3 linked regions of the Canis lupus familiaris genome follow. The protein of the gene in region 2 interacts with the protein of the main gene of each other region in a pairwise test. Links are inferred from orthologs where the notes say so. Each region holds a gene or a part of one and is shown on either strand. Other genes may lie near its edges.

Region 1 (4,941 bases), on a different chromosome or scaffold from region 2:
AGTACTTACTTCCTACCGTACAAAATTGTCCAAATTTGTTCTGGGAGGCCACGCGAAGCCCATTGTCCAGCGTGGTGACTTTGGTTTCAAACTTTTCTTGTCCGTCGACTGTAGCAAAAACAGGCTCAGGCACTCCGGGTAAGGGGGAAGAGAGTGGGACGTGGGGATAGGCACCACCACCACTGAACTGTCTGCGCGAAGGGGCACCGGACCTAAACAGAGGTTGCCCAGTTACAGCACACCTGACACCTCGGAGCCTGTGGTGAGCACCCGGGTGCCCACAGTCACGTTTTGTCTAAGTTAAAACTCAGTGCATCCCGTTCTGTGGATTTCTACACACCCTGAGACGACACACAGGAGTGATCAGAGCCCCACTGCTAGGTACAAATCCAGGCTCGGCCCAGGGGCCTGCAGCAAGTTGATCAGTTCTTTGGGCCGAAATCAGTTCTTCGTCTCTCGTAAAAGACAGTAGTGACAGCACCTCACTGTGATGCGGGTTAACCTCTCATACACAGCCCCTCTAGGGTCCACACACAAGCCAAAGCTCTCAACGCCCTGTCCCCCAGCTGTCTTAGAGCTCTCCCCACCCCACCCCCAGGGCCCCTCGTGGTGGCCTGCTGGCGGCACCCTTAAACACACTCGGTCCTCACCGCAAAGCAGCTGTTCTTCCCGGTCTGGCCTGGCCTGCTCCTACCTGCGCCTTCCCCGCGGCTGCCCCTCCTCCGTTCCTCGTCTCTTGACTTACCAATGCCACCTGCTCGGACAGGCCACCCTCCGCACGCTGCCTGAAGCCCCTGTCCCGCTACCTGCCGCCAGACCGTCCTTCCTGAAGCTGGAAGCCTTCACGCGACCGCTCCCGCTTGGTCCGCGCGCCCGCCGCCGGGGACCAGGGAGAGGCCCCACCAACTATGGCCTGGGAGGGCTTGCTCGCCGCCAAGAGGGCGGGAGGGCGGCGGGGGCGGGGAGCGCGCGGCGCCTGCTGCAGTCGAGGCGGCACCGAGGCCCCGCGGGCTCGGCCTCACGACGGGGCCCCGCGGCAGGACCGGGCCGGGGCGGAGAGGACACGTGGCCTCCGACCGCCCCGTCGGGCCGGGAGGACTGGGCGGGAGAGGGTCCAGCGGCCCGGGAGAGGACAGGCGGATGAGGCTCGGAGCCCGGGCCCGGGGGTCCCGGCAGGGAAGCGCCCCCAGCGCCTCGGAGACGAGGCCGGGGTCCCGAAGCCCCAGCCCGAACCCGCGGCGCTGCGACTGCGCGTGGGGAAGCCAGAGACTGAGCGTTCGGGCGGACGCGCGCCGCCCCGGCCCCCGGCGCGCCCCCTGCTCACCTCAGCCGCGAGCAGCGCCACGAGCCCGAGCCGCGAAGCAGCACCCGCGCCGCCGCCACTACCATAGCCGCCATCTTGGGCCTCCGCCCCTGCTTCTGTCGTCACTTCCGACCCCGCCCTCGAAGCCCCGCCCCTGCGGCGTCAGCCCACGGCGTTCGGTCGCGCGCTTCCGGTGCCGGGAGCGGAAGCCGCGGCGAGAGGCTGGGAGCGGCGGCCGGGCTGCGGGCGACGGGGGCGGGCAAGTCGGGCCGCGGCCGGGGTGGAGCCGGGGCTATGGAGCCGCTGCTGCCGGGCTAGGGAGGGCCGGCGCCGCCGGGCCCGCGGCGATGGCGGGCTACGCGCGCCGCCCGGGCGTCCCTCCGCTGTCGCGAGCCCGGAGCCTCGTCATTCCGGACGGTGAGCGGCCGGGCGGGGCGGCGGGGCCGAGCCCGCCGGACCCCGGGGCCGCCCCCGCCTCGCCGGGCCGGGCTGCAGGTGAGGCGGGCCGCGAAGAGCGCGGCCAATCGCTCTCGTTGTTATTGCAGCTCCAGCGTTCTATGAGCGCCGGTCTTGTCTCCCCCAGCTAGACTGTGAGCGCCCCCATGGCAGGGACCTGGACTCCCACTTCTTCGGCATTCGGCCGACGTTTATGTGCTATGTGCCCAGCCCGGTGCTAGCTTCCGTGGGAGACACAGGTGAGAGACAAGCCTCAGGGAGCCCCGAGCTGGCTGGGCCTGTAGGCTGCTTGCTGTGGCCTTAAGTCCCCCCTGACCCAGCGACTTAGTGTGGCCTTGGGGCGCTCCCCTCCAAGTACAGACACTCACTGTAGGCTGGTAAGTGCCCAGCAGAAGCCCCACAGACCACCTCCTTCCAGGAGACCCTGGCAGCGGCTGGGCTAGTTCATCCCGCTCTCCCTGGAGCATTCAGGCTGCCCTGCAGCCAGGGCATAGGGAGAGCTAGGTGGTTGTGTCAGGGTCTCAGGAGAGTGGCCACCTGTGAGGGTATTCAGGAGGTATCTCAAGACACAGGAGGGCCTGCGCTACCGAACACTGCTCATCAAATCCGACAGGGAGCTTTTTCTGAATCACAGACGCCAGGGCCCACGGAAGCCATACCGTCTCCATGGGCAGGAGCCCCGGGGCCTCGGGTTTGAAAAGTTCCCCGGCCTGTGAGAATCATGGCAATAGAGACCCCGTGTTGGAAAAAAGTTGTCACAGGGGCCTCCATGATCATGGTCAAGCAGTGACGTCTCTTTGCAGATTTTGGCTACGGAAAGGGGAAATGTACTAAGCAAGGTCCTCCTGGAGCCCAAGAGACACATTTCGGAGGTATGGTGGTTGAGCAGTCCTCTCTTTCCCTCTCCCCAACACCTAGTACCAAGCACGTGCCCTGTGCTGGGGTGTCAGTTTGACAGCATATAATTCGTCTGCCAAGTGGGGTGGAGTCCGAAGGATGGACTCTTGACCCTAGGGTAGAAAGAGGGTACGGGGATGGGAGAACCTGAGACGTGCAGGACACAACATGGAAAGTAACAGTAGAGGGGTCTGAGGAGCCTTCACGGGCTCAGACAACAGGAGTCCGCTTTACACAAGGCTGGCACCTGGGCTTAGATGGCTGTGGACTGAAAGGGCCACGGTGTTACTGGTTAGGAACCAGGAGAGCTGGAAGGATGGATGGGTGAGCAGGGAAAGGACAGAGGTGGAGCACTGATTCCCGATGTAGCTGTACCATTAGAACTCTGACGGCCCCTAACACATATTGTGCCCCAAGCCAACTAACACAGTCTGTGTGGGAGTAGAGGCCCATTGTCCTCCCAAAGATCCCGAGGGTGGTCTCCGTGGGCAGCAAGGTGGGGGAACCAAGGGGTTGGGAACAGGAAGGAGAATTCATAAGGGAACTATACTCCTGTTACCGGGCTGGAACTCACAAGCCCAAGCCGCTCTACTGACTGAGCCAGCCAGGTGCCCCAGGAAGGAGAATTCAGAGTGTGGAAGTACATCTCTTTTATTGGCTAGGTTTTTCGTTTCCTAGAATCAGTGCGAGCAATAAGGGTGAAGTCCTGATTTTAGATGTGGTCGTGTTCTAGAAAAAAAATTTTTTTTGTTTTTGTTTTCTTGTGTTCTAGAAAAATTAAAGTGGAGCTTCCTTTTTAATGATTTTCAGGAGACGTTTTGCAATTGTGTTGTATGATCCTGTTTCAGGTGATAAACTTGAAGATCTTACAGAGGCCAATCCGTTCTCCTTTAAAGAGTTTCTGAAAACCAAGAACCTCACCCTGTCAGGAGAGGATACAGCCAACAACAGGATTTATTCAAAGGTAGATCCAAGGCATCATCTGCAATGACTATTCACAGAAAAACATCCAGAGGACCTCTCTCTTCCATCGTGGGAGACATGGCAGGAGCTGGGGGAGAAAGGGAGCCCGCCCCTCACGCTGGTGGGAAAGTTGGGTAGAGAAGCTGCTGGGAGCCCTCCTCTTCCCTGCTAGACAGGACAGGGCCTTTTGTTCCACTGTTGAGCACCTTGGAAGATAGGTCGCTAGCGGTTACTGAGTCTGAGCTGTGCCTCTGACTGTTTTCTTTAGGAACCCACAAGACACTCACTGGGACTCAGCCGCAACTCCTCAACTTCCCAGACTGTGGGGTATGGCCTGGAATATCAGCAGCCATTTTTTGAAGACCCTACGGGGGCTGGTGACCTTCTGGATGAGGATGAAGACGAGGATGAGGACAATGGGTGGAATGGGGCCTACTTGCCATCCACTGTGGAACAGACCCGCTCCTCAGGGGTCGCCACCAGCACGTCACCTTGCAGCACATATGTCTCCTTTTTCTCCACTCCATCGGAGCTGGTGGGGCCCGAGACCCTGCCTCCGTGGACACTGAGCAACTCTGACTCTCACACCTCTCCAGCGGGGAGCCCCAGTGCAGACTTTGTAGCTCACGGAGAGTCTCTGGGGGACAGGCATCTCCGGACACTGCAGATAAGCTATGAAGCAGTAAGTGAGAGGGCTCTGCATCTGTGCCTGGCCAGCACCTCATGTCTGAGCAGACAACCTGGAGCCTCTAAATGGCCTTGGGGGCCTGGGGTCTTGGCTCCAGGGACAAGATGGTCTGCTAGAGTTCCCATGTGGCAGTCCTCTGAGTTGGTGGATTCCGTACATGGTGTGCCACCAGAAGAGCCGTGTGCGGGGCAGCGAGGTGCAGCCCCTCTCAGGCCCCTCGAAGGCCACCCTTCAGGAAAGGGCCCGCTCAGGGACATCTCGCTGTGTTCGGAGTAGAAGTTTTTTTTTTTTAGAAATGATTATCACCTAAAAGAGGAGTAAAACTGGCCTCCGTGATCATAGGCTTTTAAAGGGAGAGTATTCTATTCATGGTTATCTTCTGTAAGTGAACAGTATGTTGACTTTCCAGAATATTCTTTCATCAGTTCCAGAGCCAATTTGCAGAGGTACAGACTCCTTTTCAGTGAGATACAGTTTCTTTTCTTTTCTTTTTTTTTTTTTTTTAAGATTTTATTTATTTATGCATAGAGACACAGAGAGAGAGAGAGAGGTAGAGACACAGGCAGAGGGAGAAGCAGGCACCATGCAGAGAGCCTGACGTGGGACTCGATCCTAGGGTCTCCAGGATCAGGCC
Region 2 (4,180 bases):
GCCTATGGGTCCCACCCTCACTGTCCCTCTCCTTGGGTGGGTTTTGATTCAAGTCAGTGTGCAGGGAACTCAAGTTTGTACCGTAGTCCACAGTACTCACCTGGAGATCCATTGTTCTCAGGGACATCTCGGAGGTCCCACAGCTGCCACAAATCTGGCATTTCCCAAAATGAACTCGCTGCCACCCCAGGCCTGCTCTCCTCATCTCAGTGAATGACGCCACTGTCCACGTGCCTGCCCTCATTGGAGACCTGGGTATTATCCTGGCCTTTTTCTCCTCACCACCACGTTCACTCCACAAACATTCCCTGAGCACCCCCTGGAGTCAGGCTCTGTTGTGGATGCTGGGACATAGCCCTCAACAAGTTGGAAGTGGTCCCTGTTCTTTGAGTGTTCGACTCTGGTAGGGGGAACAGACCATAAAAGAAGATAGAGATTATAGTGAACCAGTGTTGTGGGCAGTGAAGGACAAGTGGAGTTGGGGTATGATCTCTCTGGCAGGGCAAGCAAGGAAGACTTTTTGGAGGAGGTGCCATCTGAGGTGAGGCATGAGAAGTTAGAAGAGGCCAAGGCATTCTGGGCAGAGGGAACTGCAAGTACAAAGGCCTGGAGGCAGGAGTAGGTGTGGATGGCTCACAGAGTGGCTAGGGGACCAGGATGGCTGAAATGGAATGACCTGGGGGTGGAACAGTGGGAGGGGGGGTGGGGGTGGGGCGAGATGAATGGAGAGGCATTGGCAGGGCCATGAAGAACCAGTTTGTCCTGGGGTTCAACTTGTAGTTTGTTTTCAGACACTTTCAGCAGGGAGAACCTTCTGTTGAAGGAGACCCCTCTTGCTTTTTGTGGGAAAGGAACTGTGGGGATCAAGAGCAACCATAGGGGCAGCGGTTTGTCACCGCCGCCGCGTTGCCTGCCTTCCTTCAATCTGTCCTGTCCCCTGCCTTTGTCTTCTCATCTGGGACCTGCAGCCCAAGCTCTAAGGCTGTCCTCACTCTACCTAACCAGTACCCCCAGGTCCCCCCATGGGCTGTGCCTCTCACTACCCTGTGGCTTCAGCCACCCTGGTCCCTCTGCTTCTATCTTTCCTCCCCCTCTGGCCTCAGTTGGAAGGTCACACCCTTGGGAGGTTCTCAGTTCCTCCTAAGCAAGTGTCACAATGCAGGCACCCTGTTGGGCCACCTGTGTCCCCAGGCCCAGCCTGGCGTATGGTAGAGGGGCACAGTGCCTGCTCTTTGGATGCGCGGGCCTCTCTGCAGCCCTGGTGATGAAGGCGAGCAAAATAAGTTATTCGTTCCTTTGAGCACTCTGGGGACCTTGGGGCTCCCTGCCAACAGCTGTCCCCCCCCCCCCCCCGATTGTGTACCTGGGGAAGAAGATGGGCCTTGCGAAGCCCAGGAAAGCAACATTTAGTGAGCAGAAGGGACCATGTAGGGGGTAAGAACAGGTTAGAATCCAGGCTCGCCTCTGCTGGCTGTGTGACCTCAAGCAGGTGGTGCCAGGTTTCTGGGTGTCACTGTGTATCTCTGTCAAAGAGAGAACGTGTACCATGTTCCGCTTCGTGGTATATATCCCCGGCAAGGAGCATATGAGAGGGTGCACGGGAGTTCCTCAGCCCGGGCCTGGTCCACATGCGCATGAGCTCACACCCACTGGGTGCTGGGTCCCTAAGAGGCCTTCTGGACCTCAGCAGGAAGAGGGCACAGACAACGAAAGAGAAACCAGGAAAGAGATTCTCGTCTGGACTCTCTCTGATTCTCTCTCTGTCCTGGCTTTACACAACAAAAGTGGTGTATTTTGTGGAACTATGAGCTCTAAGGCCGGTGCTGCCCAGCGCGCCTGCTCAGCAGGGCCCCTGTCAGCACGGCGCTGTCCTGCAGCCCCGTCGTCCCAGGGGCTCTAGGCAGCGGCTCCAGACAGAGCCTGGCGCAGCCTTGGGCCCCCCTCGTCCCCTCACGGAGGGGTAGCGCAGGTGGACCAGACTACCTTTCTTTGATGAGTTCAGTCACCGTGCAAACCCGGGAAACTCCATCGCCCCCTGGGGCTTCCTCACGCCCCTCGTGTCCAGCCCGTCCCCAGGCAGCCATTACGTGTTTTCTCTCACCGCCTGCGAGGATTTAAAGTAAGTGGGATCCCGTGGGACGGGATACGCCGTCTGTTGTCTGGCCCCTCACCTGAGAGCCCCCCGTGCTGCCGCCGCGTCAATAGTCATTCTCATGGCTGAGGGGCCTCCGGGCTGTAGGTGGACGCAGCTCTTGTTCCCGTTCACCTGTTGAAGGACATTGGCCCTCTCTCCGCCTGGATCTATTTACAATAAAGCTGCAGTGGACATGTGCCTACTTGTCTTCACAAGGACGTACGGTTTCGTTTCTCTTGGGTAAATACCTAAGAGAGGAACAGCTGGGTCTGAAGCTAGGTTTACCGGTGTGAGAGCCTGCCAGACTTTACCAAAGTGCTTATCCCATGTTAAGTCCCCAGGAGTAGTGGACGAAGGTTCCAGATGCTGCATGTCCTAAGCCACGGGTTATGAAAGAGCGAGAAAGAAGAAACAGCAGCACTATGCCATGTCCTCAAGCCACAGGGGAGTTCTGGTGGTTGCCAGCACTCAGCAGTATTCCCTGAGTGTGAGTGGGCACCCTGCCTCAGGCAGAAGAGCAGGGTGCGTCAGCATGGGAAAGGCTCTGGGAAGGCTGCAGCGAGAGCCTACAGGTCGTCTTCACCTGGCATCTCCCGCTTGACTCAGTCCTGGACCGTTGCCCTGCATTCCCCTTTCCTGCAGAGCACCCGGTTGGCCCCTGTGATGTTCACTTTGGAAACTGCTGTCCTTGAGGAATTCCCTGGGGGATAGAGATCAGGCCTGAGTCTCTGATGTTCAGGGATGTGAATAGGGTTCCTGTGCCGAGGGAGGCTGGCGCTCTCACCCCCCACCCCAGGCACCTGGCTGGGGAACTCGCAATGAAAGCAGTGTTCCTCCCCCACCTCCGCCCAGGTGCTCATCTGCCGGAATTACCGCGGCGACGTGGACATGTCGGAGGTGGAGCACTTCATGCCTATCCTGATGGAGAAGGAGGAGGAAGGGATGCTGTCGCCCATCCTGGCTCACGGGGGTGTCCGCTTCATGTGGATCAAGCACAACAATCTGTATCGTATCCCTTTGCGGGGGAGCCCCCAGGGGCCTTCCATTTGGGCTTGTGCATGTGCAGGCCCAGGGCTGGTTCAGGCACACCCTCCTGGAGCTCCCCGCGGCCTGAGGAGATGAGCAGGGAACAGACAGTAACAAGTGTGATGGGCGCTGGGAGAGGAGAGGGTATGGCAGGGGACCTCAGGTAGTCTGGGGATCCAGGAGGGCTTCTCTGAGAAGGGACACCTGGAGGAGACCTGCAGGAAGACCATGTATCCACTATCCAGAGCAGTGGGCAGACACCAGGAGCCATAGGCCTGGGAAAAGGCTCTGCAAAGGGGAAGTGAGGCTTATTCTGGAAGCCACAGTAGGGGTGGCTAGAGCATCGGGGGAGGGGGAAGGGCAGGCAAGTGGGGTATGGTGGGAATGAGGCCCAAGTGGTCAGCAACACCAAGGGGTCTCATAGGCCGTCACTTTTGACAGGAAGCCTTTGGAGGGTTTCAGGCAGATGGGGTGACATAAAATCAGATTTGCGTTTTCTGAAGGTTCCTGGCTGCTGAGCAGAAGCCAGACTGTAGGGGACAAGAGTTAATGTGGGGAGGGGACGAGGAAGCTGGGGTCATCCCTCGAGCCTTGCGTGCACATTACAATGAGGGAGGTCCTGGCCTGTGACCCTCGTCTGGCCGCCTAAGGTCCAGCCCCTGTAGCCTCTCTTTTTCCTTCCCCTCTCTCCAGAGGGCCTGTGAGGGGCAGCTCTACAGAGTACCGCTGGCAGCCTGTAACCTGGGAGTTGGCTGTCTGTGAAGCCACCCTGGGTCTGGGCGGTGGCTGCCCAGGTGTGCAGGTGGTGGTGGTGTGAGCTCAGTAGGAGCCGTCTGACCAGTTTCCAATTGGGTCCCAGTTTCATGCTTGGGCAGCCAGGGAGGAGATGGCAATGGCTCAATCCCTTGGGGTGCTGCTGCATGGCACCCCCTTCCTGCTCCCTAGTTCCGCTGTTGGGTAATAGTTTCCAGCAGGGTAAGGCCATGAGAACTGAAGGTGCCCACTACCCCTCCTTAGAAA
Region 3 (4,640 bases), on a different chromosome or scaffold from region 2:
AAAAGAGAAGGTTTTGTTCTAATCACTAACTCCCCATTTATCGGTCATCCTGCCATTACATTACAATATAGCCAAGGAAATGGTTTTATTTTTTTAATGTATTTATTCATGAGAGACACAAAGAGAGAGGCAGAGACACAGGTGGAGGGAGAAGCAGGCTCCCTGTGGAAGCCCAATGAGGGACTCCATCCCAAGACCCCAGAATCACAATCTGCCAAAGGCAGATGCTCAACCACTGAGCCACCCAGGTGTCCCAAAGACATGGTTTTAAATGTACTCTCAAATTCCTTAGCACTTGGAGTTAAGAAGCTCAAATCAAGAAAAGCAGAAGGCCGAAATAGCACTCAGTTTCAGGAAAATGATTAGCTACAAACCAACAAAATAAAGGAAAGATGTTTTCCTCAACATGTTACAAATAAGACAAAAATCTTTCTTTTCCAACTGTAAATAAAAAGAAGGGAAAAAATGGGATCCCTGGGTGGCGCAGCGGTTTAGTGCCTGCCTTTGGCCCAGGGTGCGATCCTGTGGTCCCGGATCAAGTCCCGCGTCGGGCTCCCGGCATGGAGCCTGCTTCTCCCTCTGCCTGTGTCCCTGCCTCTCTCTCTCTCTCTCTCTCTCTCTCTGTGTGACTATCATAAAAAAAAAAAAAGGGAAAAAATAAAAGTTCATAAAAACGTAGAGTACATTCGACTGATTTTAAGAGGCATATTTCAAAATTTCTGCAATCAGGATATGATGGCCAAGTGGAAATTTTAATGCTTGTCACTGCCTGAGACAATGATAGAGCATTCCTGAGAGCCACATCAGTGTTTCTGAAGGCACAAAAGAGGACACTGGAAAAGTATGGACCCAACTCTGAACTGAGAAGTATTCAAAAAGAGTAGGAATGTTAAAAATTTAACAAACACTTTAGCCAATTTATTTCACTTATTTTTCTTTTTATTTAGCATTAGAATGATGTCATTTAAAAATGTCTAAATAAGTCTAAAAATATTTTCTCACTAAGAATTTTTATAAGCCTAAATGATTAAAAAAGCACATGTCATAGCTAAATTGACGGTGTTTTTTTCTCCTTTGGTGGTACAGAAAACAATCAATGGTATTAGGATTCAATACAGTATTAATTCAGCTGCAATATCTCACAAGAAAGCTTGAAAAACTACCATACTGGCAACCTGATAGCTTAAATAAGAGAACGTAACATAAAGGCCTCCCCCATCAGAAAACACACAGGAAATGACACATAATTTTGCATTATCATAATAACAGGGCTATTTTTCCAACCCTAAAGTTTTCTTTATGTAAAAAGTAAAATCTTTCCTCAAATTTCCCATGGGTCTGCAGCAGATGCCTACACTGAATCCAAGAACATGGAGGGAGAAGAGCCAGGGCAGGAATTTGCCACAAGTAGAAAGCTTAAGGGAAGATTTTAAGCAAATTCTTTTAACTGAACTCCTTTTCTGAGGACATTAGCTATGACAAAAGCAGGTATCAACAAACGTAGGTTCAACTAAATATTCCAAAGACACACAAAATAAATTTTTAAAATCACATTTTCAAAGAGCTGCTTAGTTCCAAGCTTCTCCAAAGAGCAGTTTGGGTTGTTTGGTTGTTTGGTTTTATTCTGTACTGTGGTAAAATACACTTCACATAAAATTTGCCATTTTAAAGTGTACAATTAGTGGCATTAAGCACATTCACAGCATTGTGCAACCATCACCACTATCCATTTCCAGAACTGTTTTCATCATCCCAAACTAAAACTCTGTATTCGTTAAACAATAATGCTCCATCTCTTCCTGTCAGGCCCTGATAAGCTATATTCTACGTACGTCCCTATGAATTTGCCTATTTTAGATACCTCACATGAGTGGCCTCATAAGATATTTGTTCTTTTGTGTCTGGTTTACTTCTCCGGTGAGTACTTTAGTAAAGAAAAGAATGAATCCCAAATTATTAGGTTTCTTATCATTTAACTGTAGATACTGACACAATCTCTGAACTATGCATACAGCTTTCTCAGAAATCCTGCTATTCCATGAGCCCCATGAGGCAGAGAATCTTAGACTGACTATTCCTTAGCCTGTGGACAGGTCTAGTTCAGCAGCTGTAACGCAAAGAGCAGGCTCTTGAGAGCCCCGGAGGCCATCCTGGGGTAAGGGGCTGGAGCAAAGGGAAGTGGAGGGTTGTGCAGGCCAGAAAGCCATGCATAAAAAAAAAAAAAAAAGACAAGTATGTATCAAGATACTCTGGCCCTGAGATGGTCTCTGGTTTGTCTCCCACGAGGCGTTCCTGCACCGGCACACTTGGGCTGGGCGGCACCTGTCAGAGTTGAGGCCAGACTGCAGTGTAGTCACTGAGACTGTCACCAGTTGCAGGAAGCTTCACGGGGTCATGAGTCATTTTGCATGGCTCAGAGGTCCGGGCAAGCCTGCCCTGCTCCGCCCAGACAAACCTAGTTAGGAGACGCACAAACAAGAGAGAAAGACACAAAACTGGCAGAAACACAGACGGCCAAAGAGCAAGGCTGACAGGCAGGCAGGCAGGCCATGAATGAGAGTGAGGACTGAGAGGGAAACACAGGGTCAAGAGTCACATAAGCAAAGTAGAGACAGAAGAAGAAAAAAAAAAAAGGGGGGGGGGTGCAGATAGAGATGTGTGCTCAGCAAGAGAAACTGGGGAGAAATACAAAGTCGATAGTGGCGGAGTTCAGAGGCAGAAAGGGCAGGTGACAACAGGTGACAGAGACGTCAACAGAGGGGAAACACTACTTAGAAGCAAACGGAGGCAGGCACCAGCCAAGGCCGGGTGCTGCCTGTCTCCCGGCTTCGGCTCAAACCCGAGGCCGCCTCGCCGCACCCACACGGCGCCCCCGAAAGGCCGGCGGACGTTCCCAGGCGGGATCTCTAAGCGCTCCGGCCCGCCGAGGTCCGCCGCCGCGGGGTGACCTTGGGCGAGACGCTGCTTCGGGGGCCTTGGGTGTCGCGGCCCGCGCACCGGGCTGGCTGGAGGCCGCAGGAGTCGGCCTCGGGCGCGGGGACTCCAACCGCCCGAGCGCGGCTTCTTGAGCATCCCGGTCTGCGGAACGGGCCTGCCGGGCCGGGGGGCGCGCGCGCGCCGGGACCTGCGGAGGAAGCCCTTAAACCTCCCCGGCTGCCCTCCCTGTCCCCTCGCTACCTGTCGTCCCGACTTCGCCGTACCTGCTAAGGGCTCCGCGTTCACATAACCCGCCCGCGGGACACTTTCCGCCGCCAGCGACAGGCCCGTTCAAGCCGTAGCCGCCGCGACCGCCTCAGCCTGCACCTCCCGCCCCCGGAAACGCTTCCCGGTTCCGCCCCCGAAACTGCCAGTGCTTCCGGGGGTGCGTCAGAGAGAAAACGCTGTGCGCATGCGGGACTCTCCTGCGGGGCGGGGCGTGAGGGGAGCGCGCTGCTGCCGCCCTACTCCTGCGCAGTGCAACCTGGCGCGGGTCAGTTGTCTTCAGGGACTCCGGGTGAGGCCGGTGCTGGGAATGAGGGAGCTGACACCGAGTCCTAACCCCTTTTCAGACTTGATCTCTCTCATGCTGCCTAGCAGAGGCCGTGTCGAATCCATTTTTGTCTCCGAGGGCCTTTGGCACGTAGTGGATGCTCAGGGAATGTACAAGGACAGGAACAGTTCCATCTGTGCCAGGCGCTGTGCTGGGTCCCTCTAAGAAAAACCTCATTTTGTTCAGGTCCCAGAAGAGACCCTTTGATCTCAGGGGAGGTAGATCTTCACTGCTACTAGGAGGAATGCCTCATGGTTAGTCCAAACTATTCACAGTAATCTCATGAGCCAAGTGGTTAGACAAAGCATAGTCATGTGACCAACTCCTAGCCCATAATACTTTTTTATTTTTATTTTTTTTCTAGCCCATAATACTTAAAAAAAAAAAAGAAAAGAAAAAACAAACAAAAACAAAAAAACAAAAAAAGAAAAGAAAAGAAAGTCCAGTAGGACTTCTAGTTGAGTATGCTCAAGTGCTTTGCCACTTTTATTCTCTTCCTTCCCCTAAGCAGACTTGAAGGTTGGAAGTTCAGTCCCCATCACGTGCCTATGATGGGACAAGCAAATGCTAAGGTTGGCAAAATGGAAAGATTGAAAGAGCCTAGGTCTCATGTGACATTAAACTACAGTTCTAGCTTACCTCTGGATATTTTATTACATGTGCCTAACATTTCTTACTCAGATTTTTTTTTTTTAATTTTATCCATTTATTCATGAGAGGCAGAGAGAGAGAGAGAAAGGCAGAGACAGGCAGAGGAAGGAGCAGACCCCCTGCAAGGAGCCCAATGTGGGACTCCATCCTGGATCCTGGGATCACGCCCTGAGCCGAAGGCAGACGCTCAACCGTTGAGTCACCCAGGCGTCCCTCAGACTTTATTTCTAACGAAACCGAGGACTCTTCAAATATGACAGCAACAAAATATATTAAAATAAGAGGAGAGATATTGAAAGCACCCTTTTCAATACGTAGATAAACTTGTGAGGAAATCAGGAAAAATCATCTGAGGCCAGGAAGAAAGCAGAAACGCAAGCCTAGGAAGTTAGAGTTGAAGTTGAGAAGTTATCCAGGGATACAGTCTGCCTCTGTTCTGATTGCTTAGGGTGTGTGCTAT

The links. The genes of interacting proteins can lie anywhere in the genome.
Region 1: the proteins of AP1M1 (region 2) and ENTR1 interact in binary tests that used the Homo sapiens proteins (3 or more experiments, as listed by UniProt). The two-hybrid records come from large-scale screens. The link is inferred for Canis lupus familiaris from reciprocal best matches to the Homo sapiens genes AP1M1 and ENTR1.
Region 3: the proteins of AP1M1 (region 2) and ZBTB43 interact in binary tests that used the Homo sapiens proteins (3 or more experiments, as listed by UniProt). The two-hybrid records come from large-scale screens. The link is inferred for Canis lupus familiaris from reciprocal best matches to the Homo sapiens genes AP1M1 and ZBTB43.

The regions. Positions count from the first base shown.
Region 1 is NC_049230.1:49,080,829-49,085,769, forward strand, and holds the start of ENTR1 (endosome-associated-trafficking regulator 1), read left to right. Parts: upstream 1-1,582; 5' UTR 1,583-1,650; coding exon 1,651-1,720; coding exon of another isoform or gene 1,721-1,798; intron 1,799-1,848; coding exon 1,849-1,998; intron 1,999-2,562; coding exon 2,563-2,631; intron 2,632-3,504; coding exon 3,505-3,620; intron 3,621-3,887; coding exon 3,888-4,301; intron 4,302-4,941. Other genes in the region: PMPCA (mitochondrial-processing peptidase subunit alpha), read right to left, coding at 10-212, 1,325-1,398. UniProt on the Homo sapiens protein: Endosome-associated protein that plays a role in membrane receptor sorting, cytokinesis and ciliogenesis. Involved in the endosome-to-plasma membrane trafficking and recycling of SNX27-retromer-dependent cargo proteins, such as GLUT1.
Region 2 is NC_049241.1:46,694,474-46,698,653, reverse strand, and holds part of AP1M1 (AP-1 complex subunit mu-1), read left to right. Parts: intron 1-2,986; coding exon 2,987-3,143; intron 3,144-4,180. UniProt on the Homo sapiens protein: Subunit of clathrin-associated adaptor protein complex 1 that plays a role in protein sorting in the trans-Golgi network (TGN) and endosomes.
Region 3 is NC_049230.1:56,547,859-56,552,498, forward strand, and holds the start of ZBTB43 (zinc finger and BTB domain-containing protein 43), read right to left. Parts: upstream 3,360-4,640; 5' UTR 3,201-3,359; exon of another isoform or gene 3,178-3,200; intron 2,858-3,177; exon of another isoform or gene 2,249-2,857; intron 1-2,248. UniProt on the Homo sapiens protein: May be involved in transcriptional regulation.